3 linked regions of the Saccharomyces cerevisiae S288C genome follow. Changing the gene in region 2 together with the main gene of any one other region gives a genetic interaction. Each region holds a gene or a part of one and is shown on either strand. Other genes may lie near its edges.

Evidence for each region.
Region 1: of REG1 (region 2) and ADR1, changing one enhances a phenotype caused by changing the other (phenotypic enhancement), as found in Saccharomyces cerevisiae (2 studies listed by BioGRID).
Region 3: of REG1 (region 2) and SAK1, a mutation in one rescues a mutant of the other (synthetic rescue), as found in Saccharomyces cerevisiae (4 studies listed by BioGRID, with this or other methods).

What each region holds. Positions count from the first base shown.
Region 1 is NC_001136.10:893,273-899,506, reverse strand, and holds ADR1 (DNA-binding transcription factor ADR1), read right to left. Parts: upstream 4,473-6,234; coding exon 501-4,472; downstream 1-500. Other genes in the region: YDR215C (uncharacterized protein), read left to right, coding at 5,005-5,418; AHA1 (Aha1p), read right to left, coding at 5,580-6,234. UniProt on the Saccharomyces cerevisiae protein: Required for transcriptional activation of glucose-repressible alcohol dehydrogenase (ADH2).
Region 2 is NC_001136.10:495,414-504,386, forward strand, and holds REG1 (protein phosphatase regulator REG1), read right to left. Parts: upstream 5,467-8,973; coding exon 2,422-5,466; downstream 1-2,421. Other genes in the region: VPS54 (Vps54p), read right to left, coding at 1-1,905; YDR029W (uncharacterized protein), read left to right, coding at 5,687-6,001; RAD28 (Rad28p), read right to left, coding at 6,340-7,860; MIX14 (Mix14p), read left to right, coding at 8,085-8,450; PST2 (flavodoxin-like fold family protein), read right to left, coding at 8,686-8,973. UniProt on the Saccharomyces cerevisiae protein: Involved in RNA processing and negative regulation of glucose repression. Regulates the level of two antigens, P43 and P70. Binds to protein phosphatase type 1. Functions with REG2 and SNF1 protein kinase to regulate growth.
Region 3 is NC_001137.3:415,770-421,209, reverse strand, and holds SAK1 (serine/threonine protein kinase SAK1), read right to left. Parts: upstream 3,930-5,440; coding exon 501-3,929; downstream 1-500. Other genes in the region: COM2 (Com2p), read left to right, coding at 1-95; VFA1 (Vfa1p), read right to left, coding at 4,740-5,351. UniProt on the Saccharomyces cerevisiae protein: Serine/threonine-protein kinase that phosphorylates SNF1, the catalytic subunit of the SNF1 kinase complex. Acts as an activator of the SNF1 kinase complex and controls its nuclear localization upon glucose and nitrogen depletion.

The DNA of each region.
Region 1 (6,234 bases), 400 kb from region 2:
TAAATAAAAAAAAATTTAGAGATTCTTAATTAAGTCTAAGAACATCCTCCCACACGCCAGGAGTGGTTAATGTTCAAGATTGGTATTAGTTATACACGGTAACCAACAACGTTGGTAAGGTCTTTTTCTTCTATACATGAATTTTAAGATCAAGCATATATTTTAGGCTTGCATCTTGTAATGAACTAACTTTCATAAATAGCTTTTCTTTTTTGTATGAGGTATAAGATGAAAAATGTTAAACATGATACAGGATTTAATATAAAATGGACCAAAATAAGGAGCAATAACGAGATTCACCCCAATGGGTGAGATGAGAAACGCCAAGGTAGTGAAATATTTTTGTGCAACAATTTCAAAGATAAGATCGGTGTTCTCCCGCAGTAGTCCACTTCAGTCGCATGCATGGCTGTTTGATGAGAAATAAAATGAGATATTCAAAATCTCATCAGAAAGAGTTGAGTACTGGGACGACACATATCAGCAACGAGACATAATCGTCAACTGTTTCCCTTTAGATGATTTTCCAAAGTGTGGAAATCACTTGCCATCTTATCTAACATGTGACAATGAATGTAGTTTTCTTTAACATTGGTGAAAAATAACTTGGCAATAGTAACATATTTCAGAGATAATTGGTACTTTTCGGCAAATCCTTGCCCCTTTCCACCATTTTTATGTTTTGATGAATGATTTTCCCCGTAACGTAAAAGATTCAAAGTAGAAACAGTTTGATGCGAATCATTTAAGCCGCTGAAGTTAATACCTTCTAGGCCGGTATCCGATAGGAAATGTGCTGAACGAGGCAAGTCTGTCACTGCCCTGTCCCCATTATCAAAGGAAAATTCATTTCGAATAGGATCCTCCATATTCAAAAAAGAGGTATCGTTAAAAGAGTTAACTAGGATTTCATTAATAAACATTGCAAGCCCTTCAACATTGATCTTTTTGGCTAACTTAGTCTTAACAGCTGCACTTGCACCATTATGGTGTTCATTTGCGGATAAACCAGGGACAAGCATACCATTATCTTTATTTATAAATTGTTGCGTAAATACAACATCAGGAAATCCAGAAAACTCTTGCGGATACAATCTTGAAAGTGTGGGAAGTAAAATAGAATTCGCAAGGCTTCTCAACTCAATAAAAATTCTCAGTAACTTAAAATTTGGAGTTGCTTCAAAATCCAATAAAAATTTGATAATTAGGATGAAGCAATAGTAATAGCCTTGTAAATTGAAGACAGAAAGCGCTTGATTATTCAGGTGGATCCTTGGCAGCTCTGGAGAATTCATTCTTTGGGAGCAATCACTTTCTTCTTCTACGTATAAAGACGAAATATTACGGATTGAAAAGTTCAACGCTACTAAAAATTCACACAATACTTCAACTGAATAATTCTTCAAAAAATTCAACCTCACAGAGTTCAAAAAGGAATCATATATCTTTGCTATTTGTCCTTTTCTAACCTTCTCAGTAAACGAGCGATCAATCTGTTTGATGAATCTCATTGACATTAAATTATTTTTCAAAATTATGGTGTCATCAATTAAGATCGCAATATTTTTATTGGTTGCTGCCATATTATCATTGCCATAGGAAGAAGTGTCAAGACTCCTCTCTAGCCTTTTCGTATCGATTCGATCCAAAAACACATGTGATTTGGTTCCTTTTCTTAAATCGTATTCATAATAAATCATAGATGACCCTAAAAATTCTGGTATTGAGTGTAAGTGTCCATACGTGAAACTGTAATAAAAGTTTCTAAAATCATAAAAATTTTGCTTTTGCACAACATGCCCATTACATATTATCGATTCACTGGCCCATTTTGACTCATTGTCGGGAATATAAATGGTTTCAACATCTTTTTCCTTTATAGACAAATCGAATTTAATATGGAAGAAACATTTCAAGAACTGACAAAAATCATAAGCCATTAAGGTGCATCTAATTTTTGACTCAAAAATGATGTATTGAAGAGGAGAACCAAATGTTAAAGGTTCATTGTTATTATTGATACTCTTCTCAGAATTTGCAGAAATTGTCGGTAAACAGTTTGATCTGATCGTTGAACATAATGCGGACAATTGCCTTTTCATCAAAGAGGAGTCAATTTTCTCCAAATAATCAGCAACTAGAGCGAACATGAAGCTCAATATTAGGGATTGCATCAACCAAATGTTCTGATAACTGTCATTTACTGTTGTACTGCGACACCTTCTTTTAGTCTCCAAAAAAGAATGTAGAATTCTTCTACTCATCTCATACAATTCTATTGTTTGAGATTTGTAACCGAACTTATGCAAAGAACCAAATGTGGCCATAAATAAGGGTAAACAAACGATTTTCGAAATGGACAAGATTTGATAGTGCTCGTAATCATATTCTTTATCTGTCCCTTGACTTAATCGATCAAACAACTGCGCGTTTTCAGCGTCATCATACCCATCCTCATTAGTATATCGTTGCAAGCTATCCAAATCCAAATCAAGCAAGCTTGGGTGAATAATAGGGAAATGGGGAAGGAAATTATTCTTGAAAAGATCTAAATATTCGTTCAATTCACTCACAGCTGGCATTAACAATTCTTTGGACAGCAAGTTTGGATTAGAGTCCATGACACTCTCACTACTATCATGACTGAACTTTTCATAGTATCTAAGCACTTTAATGCACATATTTCTCATTGGTTCATTAAATAGCTTTGATTCTATGGAATGCGATGGCTGATTGTTGTTCACAGTGGAGGCCGGCAGAGCTCTTGATATTTTCGATAACGTTAAACAATCTAACCCATAAAAAGTATAGTTGCCGCTATCTGGCTTTTCTTTCCTGTTTGACGTTGATAAAAAGTCTTCCAGGGATCGTTTAGACTCTTCTCCTTTCAAATATTGACTGAATATGGCTTGAACATCTCTGGTCATATTACATAGCTTATCCAGATCATCTTCGCGATTGGAAGGATGATCGAGTCCGAAAGAAATCAACATATCGTCATTGGTCCCCTCTTTATTCTTATAAATTAACTTATGAGGAGAAATTGGAGAGTTTGATAGGTTCAAATGGGAAAGGTCAATCTCATTTGACGTGGCGGTAGCACTTACGCTATCATCATGTAAAAGTTCAAATTCTTTTAAAACGGCAGTGGTCTCTAACAAATCATTACCTAAAGTATCATTATCCAGCAGTTCTTGAAAATCGACGAAATCAGGTTGGTTGTCTGATACCTTATTGTTATTGCTATTATTATCTATAGCAACAGTCCAAGAGGAGGACCTTGAATCCTTCAAATGATGTATAGTCGATTTAAAATCTGGGACGATTAATTTAGTGTCGTTTAATTCAGAGTTCATTGGAGAAGTTTCATCACTTTCAGATACTGAAAACAAATGATCATTATAGGCTTTTATCCAGTACGACGACGACAATAAGTCTGCGTCATTAAATGAAGCGTTCTTAGAATTCGTGTTAGCGCCGACATATGCGCGGGTTGGTGAGCCGGAAGAATATGTGTAGTTATTTGCTGATTCGGGCAATTTATAATCCAAATTCATTGTTGATCCAGAAGAATCAGAACGGTTTAATGCTATATTGAAATTGGAATCTAGATTTAGGTTTAAATCTAGATTCATATTCAGGTCAAACGAAGAGTCAAGTTCAGGATTCTTCAAGTCAAGTGGAACTAATTCAGGCGTAGAAAATTTAACACGATCCTTTGGATGTTGTTCTAGCGAAGATTGGTCGGGCAAAGCATAGCTGGATGCTGATTGTGCGCTAAATGAAGCCCTGCGCGTCAGTTTTTTCAAGTACTTACGTTTAACATTAGCTTCAGGGCTTGCTTTTCTTCTTGTATTGGCAGTAGTGCGATTCAAAAAATTACCATTATCTGGAGTACCATAGGTTGGAGTTTGAAACTTGACTGAGGATGCAGAATTTTTCCGAGCTTTAGTTATAGTTCTCGACACTTTCTTGGTATGGGAAATCGTTTCCCCTAAATTACCACTATGGATTTTTTGAGCATGCCTGATCAGTAAGTCCCTCCTAGTAAAGCATCTGTTGCAGAGGCCACAGGGATAAGGTTTTTCATTTGTATGCGATCTGTAATGTCTTTTCAAGTGCTCTTGTCTTGCGAACGCTCTCGTACAAACCTCGCAAACAAATGACCTTAGTTTCCCACTGGGGGTTCTACCATTAAGCCTTAAATTTTCGGGCAACTTGTCCAGTTGCTTGTTAATCTTGGAGTTCATATTATTATTTGTGGTAATGATCTTTCCATCTGGCGTCCTCTGTATCACAGAGAAAGTGTTTGAGTTTTCTCTGGAAGCTGATGATGACATTAATAAAATCGGTGAATCATCCGTTTCCATTTCTATTTCTTGTTTCTCATTATTGAAGCCGTTAGAAAAGCACGAATTCAAGTCAACAACGGGAAAGCCTGAACAATCGTTTGGTTTTTCTACGTTAGCCATAGTAATAGAGTATGATTATTTTTTTTATATTTTTTTTTTTTGGAAAACAAAATTCTTATAGTAAAGTAAGGAATAGTAGCAGAATATTTTTCTGAAGTGTTTATAATAAAGGGAGAACCGGGAAAGTAGCAAAATGATTGGTTAATTTATGCAAATCAATCTTATACTTCCAACGAATAAGAGGGAGTATATCAAAACAGAGTAACAATAAACTTTTGCTATGACACCTTTTCTTTCTTTCAAAGATAAAAGAATAAGGCTTTTCTATAGTAGTCGAGCAAATGTTGGAATAAGGAGGTATGGAATTTTGAAAATAGCCTGAGAAATTCAGATCAATGATATATAACTGTTGTCTTCAAAAGGTCTTCAAGGGAAGAAAATTTCCGATCGGAAGTCCAGAATAAATACCACAAGTATAGCACAATAAACAACAGCACAACAACAATAATAACAACACCTGTAGCGAAAACGTTTTCCTATTTTTAAGGCGTTGTTCTTTGAAAACCTGTGGCGAAGTAAAACATGAAAACAAATGAAAACACCGCCAAACCAAGAAAAGAACAACGAAAAAATATCACTTTTATTTAGTTCACAACGGCTAACTATCGACGTTCACCCTTCCTCAGTCTATCACATCGTCCTTAGCTCGAACAACGCCGATAGGCATCAAGTTACATTGAGCTTTACTGCACGTTCCCGCATGATGCCATTGACTAGGGCCCGCCCTTTCGGCAATCATTCTAGCATGTTCCGCATGTTCCTTGACGCCATGGTCATCCTTGCCGTCGCCTCCGGCGTTTCCCTTCCCCCTCAGCTGCCAGGGCGCCGTTCACACAACGCAAGCACACCCGGCGCCAAAAAACCGGGGAAAGACCACGGCGCTATGGTTTCGGAGTTTCCCGCCAATGGCGTTATAACTCCAGTTTATTTTCCTCTTCGTTGGTAAATTCCGGGGAGGCCGTCGGCGCCGGGCCGCAAAAGTAGGACGGGCGATCGGAGCCGCGCGGATGCCGTACAGAACTACATGATGTATTGCATTCTATCTATGCCAATAGTGGTATGTAAATATTTACGCATACTTTTATTGAAACATGAGAACAATATATCTTATAATACGGCACCAAAGCCGAATGTCAATTTAATAGAACGCACGTAGTATTCTTCAAAATTAGCGCGCACGCGATCTTCCTCGCCAACGGGTATGCCAGTCCACTTCACCTGTAATTTGGTTTCATGGAATTCTTGCGACTCATGGAAAGTCATTTCGATAGTAGAGTTGAAAGGGGCAGACCAATCCTTGAGTTTCCAGTGGAAAACAAGTTTCTTGTCCTTTTCGCATGAAACCAACTCGCTGATCACGTTGCCGCCAAAGAGCTCGAATTTTTCTTTGGTCTCCAGCTTCGGTCCGCTGTTGAAAAATTGTGCTGATCTGGTCCAGGCCAATATGCGTTGCTTATCAAGGAACGTTTCGTAGAGCTCGGAGGAAGGCACATTAAAAGTTGGTTCTAAATAAATAGATGTACTATTGCCGCTTCCGTTTTGGGGGACTTTGTTGGTGCTGGAGACTGGTGCTGAAGTTGAAGTAGAAGAGGGAAGTGCATTCTTTTTTGGCTTTGAAGCGGAGTCCTTGATTTCGGTAAAGCTACTTTTTTGGTTACCTCTTGTGTAGTTAGATTTCACCTGAGATTCGGGCACCTGAATGTCATTACCATGGGTGGCCAGCAAATCCTTGCCAAATTGTTGGAAAATTTGTCTCAACTTG
Region 2 (8,973 bases):
TTTCAAGAAATAATCATACCGTAGAGATAAGTTCAATTCTCTTCTTACGGCAATGATCTTGCCTGTACGTAACTGAATAATTCTGATTATTTCGTTGATGCCAGTACGTATATCCAATTGCGTAATCATGTTGTGCTGGTTTTCGTTTGGACTTTTAACAGATGCTAGCTCGTTAAGAGAGATATCTAGAAGCAACTTTTGATGCCCATAAAGTCTTCGAAGAGCTTCGAGCGCGTGCGTGAATATGTTTACTAGCATGGACTGAAATTCTGCAGGAGTTTGCTCCTTTATTAATCTTGAAAGTTTAGACCCACTAGTAGAGCCATTGTTAAGATGTTTTTCATCGTGGTTATTGTCAGCGTGTGCATTCTCTGTTGGCAAATAAATTTTTATGATAGATTTAAGCTCAGTGATAGATTTTTCCCTGTATAGGTCAAAGGCACTCGTTAATTCTTCGCATCTATTCAATCTGACTATTAATTCGGTTATCTTTGAAGAAAAATTATCAGTAAATATAGTTTGCTTTTTATCATTAGATCCCGTTTGTATCCTATGTAGTGTTTCCTTTGGTTTGATTGATTTGCAAAAGGATCTTAAATCATCTATTAGTAAAATCGATAATTGTAGGCTGAACTTTCCTCCTATTTCAATCTTCATATTGGTTAAAAACTCTCTCGTTGCTGACAAAGCAGGTATCGTCCTCAAATTGCTTAATTTATAGGGCCAACACCTAGTCCAACTCTGAACATCTTCGTTTATTGAATCATCCCCCTTAATCAGATAATCGATGGATTTTATCAGCTCTAAGCAGTTATCCAACTTGTTCTCCTCATACATTGACTTACACTCATCTGTTTTGTTCAGCACTAACTTCGCCTGTAATAATCCCTGTTCTAGTTTCTCTACATTCTTCCTCTTAAAAATCATTTCTAAATGTGAAATTTTTTTTCTTATATTCTCTGCGTCAATGGTCTTGATATTCTGTGCTAGCTCCTTAAGCTCGCTCATTGTGTCCAAGGCTCTTTTCTGAATATTGTCAACTTCACTTAGCGCATGAAAAAATTTGTGTGAGGATTTGGATATCTCTGTAACCAGTAATGTTTCTACGATATCCAAAAAATCGTTTAGCCTGTCCCTCAACTCAGAAAAAGCCTCATCCCTTTCCGCTTGTCTCTTCATGTCTAGTTTCGTTAAAAATAAATCGATAGCGTCCAACACTTTATGAAAAGTTCGAGGGTTATCTAATTGAAATTTGTCTGAAAAGTAAAAGTCAGGTATACTATTTATTAGCTCGGCATCCCCTTGCCTCAGATTTGCTTCAAACGACTCCTCATGCATATTTTCCCCTTCTCGCAGTTCTTTTAACTGTTCCATCTGATTCATGTTTCTTATATTATTTGTGCTTTGAAATATTTGGTAATCACTTTTAATGTTTTTGACGTATTCGATAACATGAGTTTTCCAATGGTCATCCAGATCATTTTTGCTTAGGCTAACTTGTGGAATATCAGCAACAGTGGGGTAATTGAGCCAGTTTTTCCTCCTTGTGTTCATCACAATTTCATAGATGGAGTTATTTCCCAATGGCGAAAAGTCCATGGACCCACTATGTGTTTCATTTTCAAAACCGAATGATCTACTATTTGCAACAGATAGTGTCCTAGAATCAAAACTTCTTCGCGGCGTTATTGAATCCAGACTTAATCTCGAAGATCTTCTCGCTCTTGGTGTGACACTGCCAGATATACTTAACAAGTCGTCATTAAGGGAAGTATCACCCTCTATAGTAAAAGAGCCACTATCACTATTACGAGAAGGCGATCCCTCAGGAACAACAATTTTAGGACGACCAGCCGCTTTTTGCAGTCCCTGGCTTTTATTATGAGGTGTTTCGCTTATTGACATTGGCCAGATACCTCACCAAACCTTTAAATTGTTTTAATACTGCTTTAGGATATCAATACTGCCAATTACTGTAAGCTCTGCCTAAAACAAAGTTGTGCCTAAAACAAGCCGTGTCGTAGTTTGTTTTGTTTACTTTCTAGACTGTTGTGTGGTGTCTTCTTTATAAAGGAAAAACCCTTTAAAGATCGAAGAAAACATTGATTGTACTCTATCTGAAAATCATTACCCACGAACATATCTTAGATCAGCTGCGTTTAATTGCTAATATATAGAACACACATACGACTATGGAAGCTCAAGAAGTTCTTGTACATAAGTACCAAATATTGTAAAGGTATAAAGAAGTTTTGAAATCTGGAGCGAATTTAATTGTGTACGTAAAATAACTGCTTCGCTGTCTACATTTGTCCTTGACAATGCCAGTCGATTACAGCTTACTTGGATCCTAAAGACGGCACTGATCCACACTACCTGGATTTTTATTTTCTCTTCATGTTGACTTCAAAATTCTTTCTTCTAACTGCTGTCATTTCCATTTTCTTGTGGCTTGACGTCACTCTTTTTCCAAGAGTGCAAGTACTTGCTTGCCATACCTCTTGCATTCTGCACCACTTTGTGTAAGCTTTCATTACTCGAATCCGTCAAAGACGCTTCTTTTCTAGTGGTTTGCACGCTATCAACTTTCTTGTCCTTTAGCTTACTAGCATTATTTATATGGCAGTTTTCAAATCCTTTTGCCAAAGTGTCCATTTCTGAGTGATCTTGATGGTCCATCATATTTCCCCCGGAAACAACAGACTTGATAGATTCATTTCTAGGAGAGAAATAACCCTCTATGGCAACATCACTCGCCCCCACTTCGGCTGGTGAAGGAGTATTATTTACAATTCTAAAGCTTTGTGAACTATCGGACGCTTTTGGCTGCTTTGGAAGGGCTTTTTTCTTCTGAGATGATATGTTTGCTGGTGTCACACTGCCTTTCAATACGCTTCGATTAACCAGCTGACTGTTAGCGGGTAATGGTCTTTGTTCCTCCTCGCTGCTACTCTCTTCTTCACTATCTGAATTGAATATGAAGTTCCCTGAAGAGGAATTGCGCTTCAACGGATACGGCCTGACAGCCAGTTGTGCATCTTTGTCTACATCAGTTTTACCCCCTGTAAAATTAGTAGGATTTTTTTGTTGAGGAGTTGCCGAAGAGAGTGATGGTTGTGCTAGATCGTACAAAGAATTGGTAGATCCTGATTTCCCAAGTGACAATGTTCTCCTCAGTGAAAGTCCTTCATCGTGGTTATCGTCTACTTCTTGGTCATCGTCATCTTCTTCCTCTTCGTCGTCGCTACTATTGTATTGTGAGTCTTCAATAAATTGCTGTTCGCTATCTGATGAAGAGCTGTAATTGTCGTCGTCATATAATAACATATGCGATCCATGTTGACGTGTTGTATTATTTGCTGAAGCTTTGTGTAGTTGTGGAACATGTTTTTCCTTGGATTCTACCGCATTGTTAAATTCATAGTTTGATGCATTATCATCTGCAATGGCTGTTTGTAAGTCCATTCCTTCAGGAACATCTACAATGTCACATGAATCTACTGGTAAAAAACTGGAAGTATCACCAGTGTAGACCGAGTTATAATCGTATATGTAATCATAGCCTCTGGAGGTATTGACGTTATGTGACACAGCATTACCATACCCATTAAATTCGCCATTATCAGATTCTTCGTCTGATCCATAATTCAAAGTGGTATCAGGAAGCAACTTTATTATGGGACGTACATGAGCTCTGGAAGTAGTAGATGAAGCCACAGAGGAATTATCTGTTATTGGTGAATGAACTCCAGAGTCAGACCTCCTGGAAAATCTTGCATTTATGTAAAGGCCGCCGTGTTCTTCATCATCAGAATGTGATGAAGATGATGATTGTGAGGATGTATCATCGTCGCTAGTATTTTTGTTCAAATGTTCAGTTGCGGAGTTGATAGGAATAGATTTATGCTGAATGGCTAGCAATGGAGTCCTATTGTTGTTTATTGTTGTAACGTTCGCATTGTTATTAACATCAACATATTGTTTATTTTCATCATCGCTTTCATCATCCTCCGATTGTGAAGCTGGATATCGTAGTGCCATACATTGTTCCACCCTGTCATTAAAATGTATATGTCTATTTTTAGTAGGTTTGTTAGATTTTTCACTTGGGTTTGAGGTTAATATTGATGATAATCCCATGGAATTGTTTTCATTATCTCTATTGGAGGAAGATGTTGAGGAGGGGAACCTATTATTATCAGGAGAATTTAGGTTTTGATCCAAGTTAGCCTTACGATCATTGGTACTATTTTCTAGTATGCTTTTGTTTGATTGTGCCGTTGACCTATTGTTTTGAACATGAAGCGCTGACTTTAAATGCAGGTCTTCTTCTCCCTTGTCACCGCCACCATTTGAATTTTCTCCTACAGGATTCGGTATGGTAGAATTATCTTTTTTGTCAGAGTGTTGACTCTTCAAACTAACGCTACTGTTCGATTCTTTGGGATAATGGTAGTACTGGGCGTTAACTTGAGCGGCCAGAGCATCGAAATCGTCATGGACGTTTTTGTTGCCATTGGGATCCATTATTACCGAAGCATGTTTCATTTCTGTCATGTGTTTTCTTGCCTCATTCAGTTTCCATAAAGCGTTGTCCTCTATAATTTCTGTGACGGTTCTCTTCTTCAAAATTGGTTTCGGAGCAGCTGCGATCGACTTTGAATTTTTAGTGGGCATTGAAATTCTCTTGGAATTTTCATCATCCGAACCATATCCTCTTTCTAGATCATGTTCTTCTTCACTTTGGGCATTACCTTCAGAATCTCTTACAATAGGGCCATATAGCCAAGTCACATCAGAATCTTTTGACCAATTAACCACTTCAGGTGACACTGTTTTCAAGTTGTTTCTTGCTTTTGCCCATGTTCTCCATGAGGCATTTTCTAACCTAGCAGCATTTACTAGATCAACATCTCTTTTCTTTTTCTTTAGGATGATATATTTCCAAGAATTAGAAATTTCTGATTCTTTCCATTCATGTGACAGATAGTCAACATGTCTTTCTGGCTCTACCACTACGTCATTATCATCTTGTGGAATTAAGTAGCTATCATTATCCGCCGGCGGTGGAGAAACGGAGGTTGAGTGTTCCTGATAGCCGTCATCATAATCATCATCTGAAGAATTGCTTGAAGAATTATTAGATGAGTTGTCATAATATTCATTGTCGTTATCATATAAGTCGTCTGACCTTCCTAGCAATTTCTTGGTAGGGTCAATATATTCATCAAGAAGGCCCATTGATCTTGTTCTTTTAAGGTTGAAAGTTGATTTATGGAAATCATCATCATTTTTCGCTTGAACAGCCATCGATACTGAAGGCCCCATATCTTCGTCGTTGTCGTTATCGTTACCACTAATTTTGACATCACTTTTGCTATTACTTTCATGGCTCGCATTTCTATTTACATGCTCGTTTTCAATATCTTTCTTACCGGCGAAGTAATTTGCTAGATTTGTTGACATTTTTGGATTTTTCTTATCTCGTCTTCGTCAATATGCTTGCTTTAGGATTTATAATCTTCAAGGATATTATCTTTTCCCCCTTGCTTTGACTTTTCAACGTTCGTACAGAACACCAGGTGTGTGGTTATACGTATAACAGCCAAAAGCTAGCCCTCGTAAAACTAGTATACCAATTAGTTCTCTTTCAGGAGGTGGTGTTAAAAAAATAAGAGAGATAAAGATGAGCAAATATTATATCTTGATAGAGCTGATGAACGATAAAAAGAATACTAACTCTAGTTGTGATATTTTCTCTTTCTATTTAAATTTCAGCGATAACCCTTTCTCAAGCTTTCGTTTGAAATCGCGTCTCCTATATGGTATATTCTCCTGTTTTCTCCTTTTTTATTCCTTAAAAGACCTGATAGGGGTATTCAAACAAAAGTATTTATATTTGTCTATTCTTCTTTTATGGCTTCTTGTTCTCCTGTTCTGTCTTGCAAAAGGCTTGTCACACAATCTCAGGGCTGATTCCTTCCTTCAATATCCACTGTGAGTTTAAATGCAAACAAAAATAGAGTGAATAAAAAAAGCTTTCGGCCCGGAATTGGTTAACCCGACTTACCAATATTATGTCAGAAAAGAGGCTACAGCTGAAACTAAGGTGAGGTGGTAAGAAATGCTCTCTATTGAAAAGTATGCATGAAGTGGAGGATAAGAGGTGAAGCGGCTTGGTAAAATATACCTGCCAAGTCTGAGATGAAAGCATTTGTATATAGCTATTAGTTGTATATTCGTGTGTAGCGATATACGTTTCCGGGTAATACAAACCTACATTGGTTCAATTATAAGAGCCGCGAAGACTATTATCATATTCTATACGGCATTTATTACTTATGAACATTCAAAGATGGATCCGCCGTCGCTAACGGTGTTGTTGTTAGTTCCAAAGAACAATTTGAGGCCAACTGAATTCATTATATTTGTTTGCACAATCATGGAACTAAACTGACAATGCGAAGCCTGATTTTTTTTTACCTGATTAACCATTGGGTATTCGAGCTTGTTCCAAAGTTTTTTTTCCTCCGTATTGTATATTTCTACTTCACCATTGTCAGTAATACACAGTAAAAACTTGTCAAACCAAAGCAACCTTCGAGATACTCTTTTTTTGTATTTGATACGGCTCAGGTCTTGTGTTCCCAACTGGGAATAACTAGCTAGACCTTCTGGTTGCAGAATTTCCGTAAATGGCCTCCAAACATTCAGTTTTCCATCCATGCCGACTGAACATAGCTCTGAACCCTCACTATTCCAAACAATGTCACTGCAACATCTCAGATGGGCTTTTGATTGGTTAGAGCTGAAATAGACATCGCTTTGATCGTCATTATCATCGTTATTTATAGTCTTGAACCTATTTTTATTTCTTTTCAATTCTGAATACAGTCTGTTCCTCATTCTTAGATCCCATAATTTTACCCCACCCTCCATGTCACCACAAGCAATAATCTGTTCCCTGACGGGGTTAAATTTGCAGCATAAAATTTCTGATTGCATTCGTGTTTGATTTCCCATTCCAAGCGCAGTTACCCCTGAATTCATGGTTCTCAGGTCAATTAATCTTGGATAGTAGTCTTCACTTGCCACTACAAGCAAAGAACTGTCGTCGACAACGTTATTATCAATTTGATTTATTTTATACCCCAGGTTTATATCTTGAACCGCTTCAAACCTGTTTGTGTCCCATATTTTTACAGTTTTATCATTTGAGCCAGTAAAAAACATCCCATTATCAGCCTTATACCACTTCAAAGTTGTTATACCATATTTATGGTGAGATATGGAAGCTTCTGAATCTGTTTCAGATAGTGTCTCACTAAACCCGATAGGAGAATCCGTTTTATTTGATATGTGTGATCTTTGAACTGGAACTGCAGCACTAGACTGTCTATACATTCGATATTTGTTTCTCTGTGTTTGAAAACTGTGCACCAGTCTCATAGTGTTGTTGTCGTTTATTCGTGTTCTTTTATTTTTATAACCCATTATTTGAGCAGGCTCATCATCTGATTGGTGAGGCTGTCGCTTGATATAGTTTAGCCTTTTATTGATCAATTCCTGTTCACCTTCATCATTGCGGTGCAATGATTCATCTAAACCCCAAATGGAAAGTGACCCATCATCTCCACCTCCTAATAACACTTGACCAGTATCATCAATATCAAGACAGTTAACACCTATACTTAACGGTGTTTTTTCTTTTGTACTATAGTTTGATTGTTTACTAAATCTGTAGTTTTTCATATTTGATAGGGGATCTTCAAGGATCCTCTCAAATTCGCTTTGAATAGTTCTTCTATAAAATTCATTTAATGAGATATTGCCTACTCTGAACTCTAAAAATGGATCCATTGACCTGTACTTACGTCCCAGAACGAGAAAGAGATAAAATTTTATGTTGTCTGTGGTCTAATGGGAGATGAGATAGCGATGCTTTTAGCTGCACATCCGAGTTCGGAGTTTTTTTTTTTTCCTACGCTTAAGAAACTATTCAAAGTAAACTTGCAGGTCCCTCCCTAATATAAAGACATGTTCCTGTAAGCACCGAGCTAATAAGTTAAAGATAGGTGAAGAAGATGTCTGATATTTTGGATGAGATTGTCATAGAAGATGTTGTGGCAAATTGCCCCCAGGAGTTTCTGCAATATCATAAATGCATAAGAGATAATGAGGAAAATCCTGGGAAGTGTAAAGATGGAAGAATGATATTATCTACATGCATTAGAGAAAAAGTGCCCAGTGTGAAAAGTATCATGAGCGAATGTAGTGAGCCAATGAAGAAATATGACCAATGCATTCGTGATAATATGGGTACAAGAACTATTAACGAAAACTGTCTAGGATTCTTACAGGACTTAAGGAAATGTGCGGAATTGCAGGTTAAAAATAAAAATATTAAGCCTTCAATTAATGGAGTAAACTTGGAATTAATCAAGGACTGAATTAATAGGCTTCCTTTGTTTATTTCCGCCATTTTTATCGTTGCATAAAGACATTATATATTCCTGTGAATATTTTTTAACTAAAATGTCCGAAGAAATTACTGTATTTAAAGTATATATATTTTCTAAAGATACTTAGGTATACCTGACGGGCAGTCCTTTTTTCATCACAGAATAATTTTCGGTAAAGGATCATTCATTTCCATAGGTAGGAGAAGTAATACTTCAAATTATTTCAAAACTTTGCAACGGTTTCGTAGAAAGTCTTGCCTTGAATTTCGTGTACTTGTAATTCCAAGGCGGAAGGAGATCTTGAACCGTCACTGCCTGCAATGGTACCCGCACCCCATGGTGAACCACCGTGAACTTCATCCATATTGGTCAATTCAGCGAAAACATTCTTGTAACCCAATGGGACAAAAATGATACCGTGATGAGCCAAAGTAGACAAAGAGTTCATAATTGTGGCTTCATTACCACCACCAGTTCCGGTGGAGACGAAACAACCAGCGACCTTACCATG
Region 3 (5,440 bases), on a different chromosome or scaffold from region 2:
TGTGCGAAAAACCATTTACATGCCATATCTGTAATAAGAACTTCAGCAGAAGCGATAATTTGAATCAGCACGTTAAAACTCACGCTTCCTTATGAAATTTTAAAGATACGGAAATTGCAAATTGAAAAAGTTTAATGACACTCACCAGTAATGATTTTGAAACGAAAAGGCACTTCTCAGGGTGAGACGAAGAAACGAAAAGTTTTCTAAGCACAGATACACTTCTCTCGCCGCCCTTTTAATAATTTAGAATAAAAATATTATAGATTTATAGATTATATTATGCTAAACTAAAAAGATCTACATCATATATTATTTTTAGCCTGTTAATGATATTAAGTTCATTGCAAGAGGATTGTAAATCACATGCATTTCAAATACAGAACTTATTTTAACATACACATATATGCGTGCATGTTGGCAAGGGTAAAAAGTTAGAGCTTTCTACCATATATCTGATTAACATCGTAGTCCGATGGAAATTACTTTGAATTTTACACTCATGGAAGTGCACTCCTTCTCTTCTCTTCATTTAGTTCAGCGACTGTTAAAGATCGCGATCTTTCATGGGTCCTTTGTTTTATAGCGCCATTTTCTTGTCCTTTATCACCATGGCAGCTGGTATTTCTAGCATGTTCATCATTACCAACATTAGTACTCATGGTAATACTTGCGTCCTTTCGTCCTCTTATTTTATTTGAAGGTATGGATCTCCTTCTGCCTGCATTAGTGGAACTTAGAGCATCTTTTAACAAGTCCCTTGAATAAAGAACTTTATCGAAATTTTTGTCCTTTCGATGATCGTTATTACCGTTAAATTCAACGATATCTGTTAAATTTGAGGTTTCCGTCGTAGCTTTCTTTTGGTCTAAACGCTTTGGTAATACTAATGGGCCAGGCTTACTAATGGGTTGGCTGCGGCTCAGTGCCTGATGCAGCGTCAAGTCATCCATATTTTGCGGCGTTATCGTCGTCTCACTGTCATGAACACTTCCATTGGAATACATGAAATTATTTGATCCCTTCTGCGGACTATTGGATAGTTCACTAAGTTTTGAAGAATTATGCCTTCTTCGATGACCTGCAGTCCCGACATTTAAAATTAGCTCATCTTCGTCGGAGGATGAAGATGAAGAAGATGAGACAGAAGGTGGTTCGAGGTTCAATGAACTTTTAACTTTCATGCGTCGACATGGTTGTATATCCAGAAACGGCCTTATTTGATCTTCGTTAGGTAAATCTCTTAATAATACTCCACTTCCATCTTCTGAATCAACACCAAACTCGAAAGGTAATGACTCCGTTTCTGAATATGCATTATTGTTGGAGCTATTCCGAGATTGGGTTCCAGATGTACAGGACGATGAAGTGGATGATAATTCAGAATCAGATTCTGAACCAGAACTGGTTACGGACGACTGGCTACTGCTATCATCATCATCTCCATTAAAATGACTGAAAAAGTTTCCTCTACGTACCTCGAAGGTTTTTGAATTATCCTTAGACTGTTTCATCCGTTGGTATAAGGATTTTATAGGAGAATTTTTGGAGCCTGACTTATCGCTGCTATTAATGTTTATTCTCGGAGGATCTTTTATGGCGGGTGTTTTGGTATTTTTCTTTACGGGAAACCTTCTCAAACGATCAGCGTTAGGGTTTTTTGCAGGTGATGGAATTTCTGAATCCTTTGGAACTCTTAGTTCAGTCAATTTCGTTGTTGAGATTTTTGAAAGGCTATTTGGTATTTTCGGTAAGTTTTGGTTGCGTGAATTCATTCGGCCAGTCCTTGAAGATGGTCTGCCGGAGTTGTATGACGTTAGATGAGATGAAGAATTTCTAAGAAGACTATTGTGACTCTTATCATACCGACCTGTTGCACAAAACGATGACTTTTGTTGTGGCAAAACGGGGCGAATTGGACTTGGTTGGTTGGTGACTCCACTAAAGACTGGTGATCGTCCAAGCCTTGTTGAAGACGGTGCAGAAGGAAGGTTTGGTACAGACGAAACCGAATCTCCCGCTTCTGGAGAACTCATTCCCATTCTAGCCATCGCAAAATTATCTATGTAGAAGCTGTCCAAGGATGCAAATGAGGAATTGATAGGTAAATTAACCATATTTCCGGCCTCGTGTTTATCATCGAATTTGTTTAATTCTCGTTCTAGTTCTCTTTTCGTTAAATGTCCATCGTTATCATCACCACTATAATGATCATCGTCGTTGATATTAATATTAGTGTCGCTATCAGTGTTCAAACATCCATCATTAGCACTTAATTCCTTAATATTCGATAACACTGAACCTTCGCTGACAATAACATTGGCATCCCCTCTGCCCCTAGTGGTTTCCGTTGGATGAAGGTAGTTTTTATTAGAGAGATCTGACGGATCCTTTAGCGGGATACTTTTTAGTACGGACTCTTTGATTTTTTTCCCGACACCGGAGACAGCGTTTTTCAATTCGTGCTTTGAAATAGAAATGGGTTCAAATTGATCAGTTTGGTTACATTGGAAACGTAATTTTTGCTCAAGGACAGAAGATAGTAACTTTTCATCGTTCTCCGGTACGTGGTCAAAATCCCATGAAACAAAAGGATGTTTTTTAATGGCAGGTATAGTCATTCTTTTTTGGGGATTTTTTTCTAACAATTTCAATAAAAGGTCCTTTGCCATTTCGTATTCCTCCTCACAAGATACTTTAGATACTTTGTTGGACTGTATTTCTTTAAATGTTGGAAATTTTAACGGGTCGTTTACAATTTTTTCAAATAATTTGAGCTCAAAATCAGAAAAAAAAGGCAGCATTCCAAAAAGAAGACAGTACAAGGTCACACCCACAGCCCAAATATCTATCATGAATGAGATGCAAGAACCACGAAATAAATTTTCCTTTGTTAAGTTATACCTGGTGAATGCATCTTCACCCAAGCACATTTCGGGAGCAAAAAATGCAGGCGTGCCCACTGTTTTGGCTAATTCTAACTCGTCTAAGGATTCGCTACTATCGGAACTATTCGTGCTGCTAGCAGCTAAAGAAACACCAAAATCGGAAATCTTAACAGTGCCATCTCCTGATATTAATAAGTTGGCAGGCTTAATATCTCGGTGAATGATTCCTTGGTAATGGAGATATTCTAAGCCGAGCACAACGCCTCTTAAAATCTCTCGCGTTTCTTGAAAACTTAGTAAAGAGGGACCCTTAGCATCTGATTCCATACAATCCGGTGGACACCATTTTACCTCGCCTCGAGAACAATACTCTAGAACTAAATAAATTTTTCTTGATTTTAAATCATCCAGAACTTCTATCAGTTGTACGACATGTTTGTGATGGCATTTTTTCATAATGGCAATTTCTCGTTTTATTTTATCATTTTCGGATATTTTACTTGATTTGATAAACGTGAAAAACTTCCTCTGTTTCTTTTCATGTCTATCCACTATTTTAATCGCTACTAATTGCTTACTCAATATATCTCTTGCTAATTTTACTTTTCCATGTTGTCCATGGCCTAATTCTTTGATGATCTCATAAGTGTTTAAAACTTTCCTCTTTGACACCGGGTCGTATGTTAGAGATATTCGATTAGTTTCCTTAACTTTATTCTTAGAACTCCCGCTCGAACAAAATGATGAAGTCGTTGTCGGGGTCTTAGCTAGTGAACTACTTATATGCTGTTGGTGCTGTGGATGGTTTAACTGCCTTACTCTTTGCCGCTCTAATAGCATGTTGAGGGAATCTACCGATGAAGACGCTATTGATGCATTATCTCTTGCACCTTCGGCCATGCCCGCCAAATTGGTAGCGCTACTCTTAGTCGGGCTTCGGAGTGATACACTGCTACTGGTGCCTGATTTTTCTAATTCTATTTGTAAGTTTGAAGGTACATTGACCTCTTCGACGTTAACTTTTTTATCACTCCTATCCATGTTCAAAACTCCTTATTAATATGCTTCTTTTCGTTTTATCTTAATCTATAATTACAAATTCTTACTGACAAAAAATCCAAATAAAAAAAAAGGAAACCGGTACTGTCTTAAAACATCAATTACTTTCCAAAGTAAATCTTCAGGTCACAAGGTATACTTCACTTAATGCCGCCTGATATAATCACAATGCAAAAATAAGGACAACCAAACGTGTTAACGAAGTGCTTTTAAAATTGTGACTGGATAAATGAAAAATGTCAACTCCTTAAATAAAGAATATGTAGTCAGTTCAGAAGTGAGATTTAGTTTGATCAAAATTCGTTACCTAAACTTTTTCCATATGCTAGTATGTTGCCACCTGCAGAAATAAATATAAGACTTTTTCTAAACAAAATGACTAGTCTTTAAGCGTCAATTGACTCCCTTTCCAAAAAAAAGAGTAATACGTTAGCTTTCTACGCTCAGTGATGAATATGAAGGGAACGAAGGAACAAGCCGCTGTTAATTTGAAGTCGTTCAACGATGATTATTTAACTTGATGAAGCACCATTTGCCTGCTCTCAACAGCTTGTCAGAAATACAAACATCACTCACACTTTCTGCCTTCCCTGGAAAGAAAGAAAAAAATTAGCTACAATTTAGTCGCTTGATACGTGTTGATTTTATTTTGTGATCTTTAGAATGTGATGAGCATTTAGCTTTTGGTTACGAACCATGAATAGATAATCCATGGTGAGTTTTATATACTATATAATCAATAGTTCATGGGTATTAGGCCATAGGAAGAGGAACGGTCCAACCGTTGCGTCCTTATTTTGGAACGGAGGGGAACACGTGTTTTCGAAGCAGTTCTTCAGGATCCGTATTAGAGTAATTCTCTTGCTCCTTGAGGTATCGTTCGCGATTTACTTGTTCTGTTCTTTTTCTTAGGAGTCTGCTTTCAAACATGATTTTTGCTAGTTCGTATTTTCTGTTTTTCCTTTGCAGTTCTGTAACTTTGTCAAGTATTTTGCTGTACTGTTTCTTTGTTTCTGACAAGATTTCTGCATCGTTCTTAGCCTGTGGAGATGTATCAGTAGAGTCGGTTGTAGTTGGATCAGGGTCTTTAGAGTTATTTGTCTCCTTTTCTTTCTTGGAGAATATTTTAGTAACCCAACCATCCCAGGACCCTAATTGGGTTTGAGCTGATGTCAGACTATCCATTTTCCCCTTTACTAGTTTTAATTGAGCCACGGCTTCATTATACTCTGTACTATAGAGGGGAATGACAAATTGTGGATTATCTTGTAAATGTATTTCGCATGTATATAGCCAATCTGGACCAGATGCGTTGTAAAGGACGGTAGTGGATGGTTTGCTACAGATCGCACATGGTTGCATGTCCTTTAGAGCGACCTTTCTGGCAACGTACTCATTTATCATTGTATATATACTATATCGTGGCACTTCTGGTGTGCCTTATTCCCACTATATTGTTAATTTATGGCGATTTAGTCATGTTCTGCTTAGGA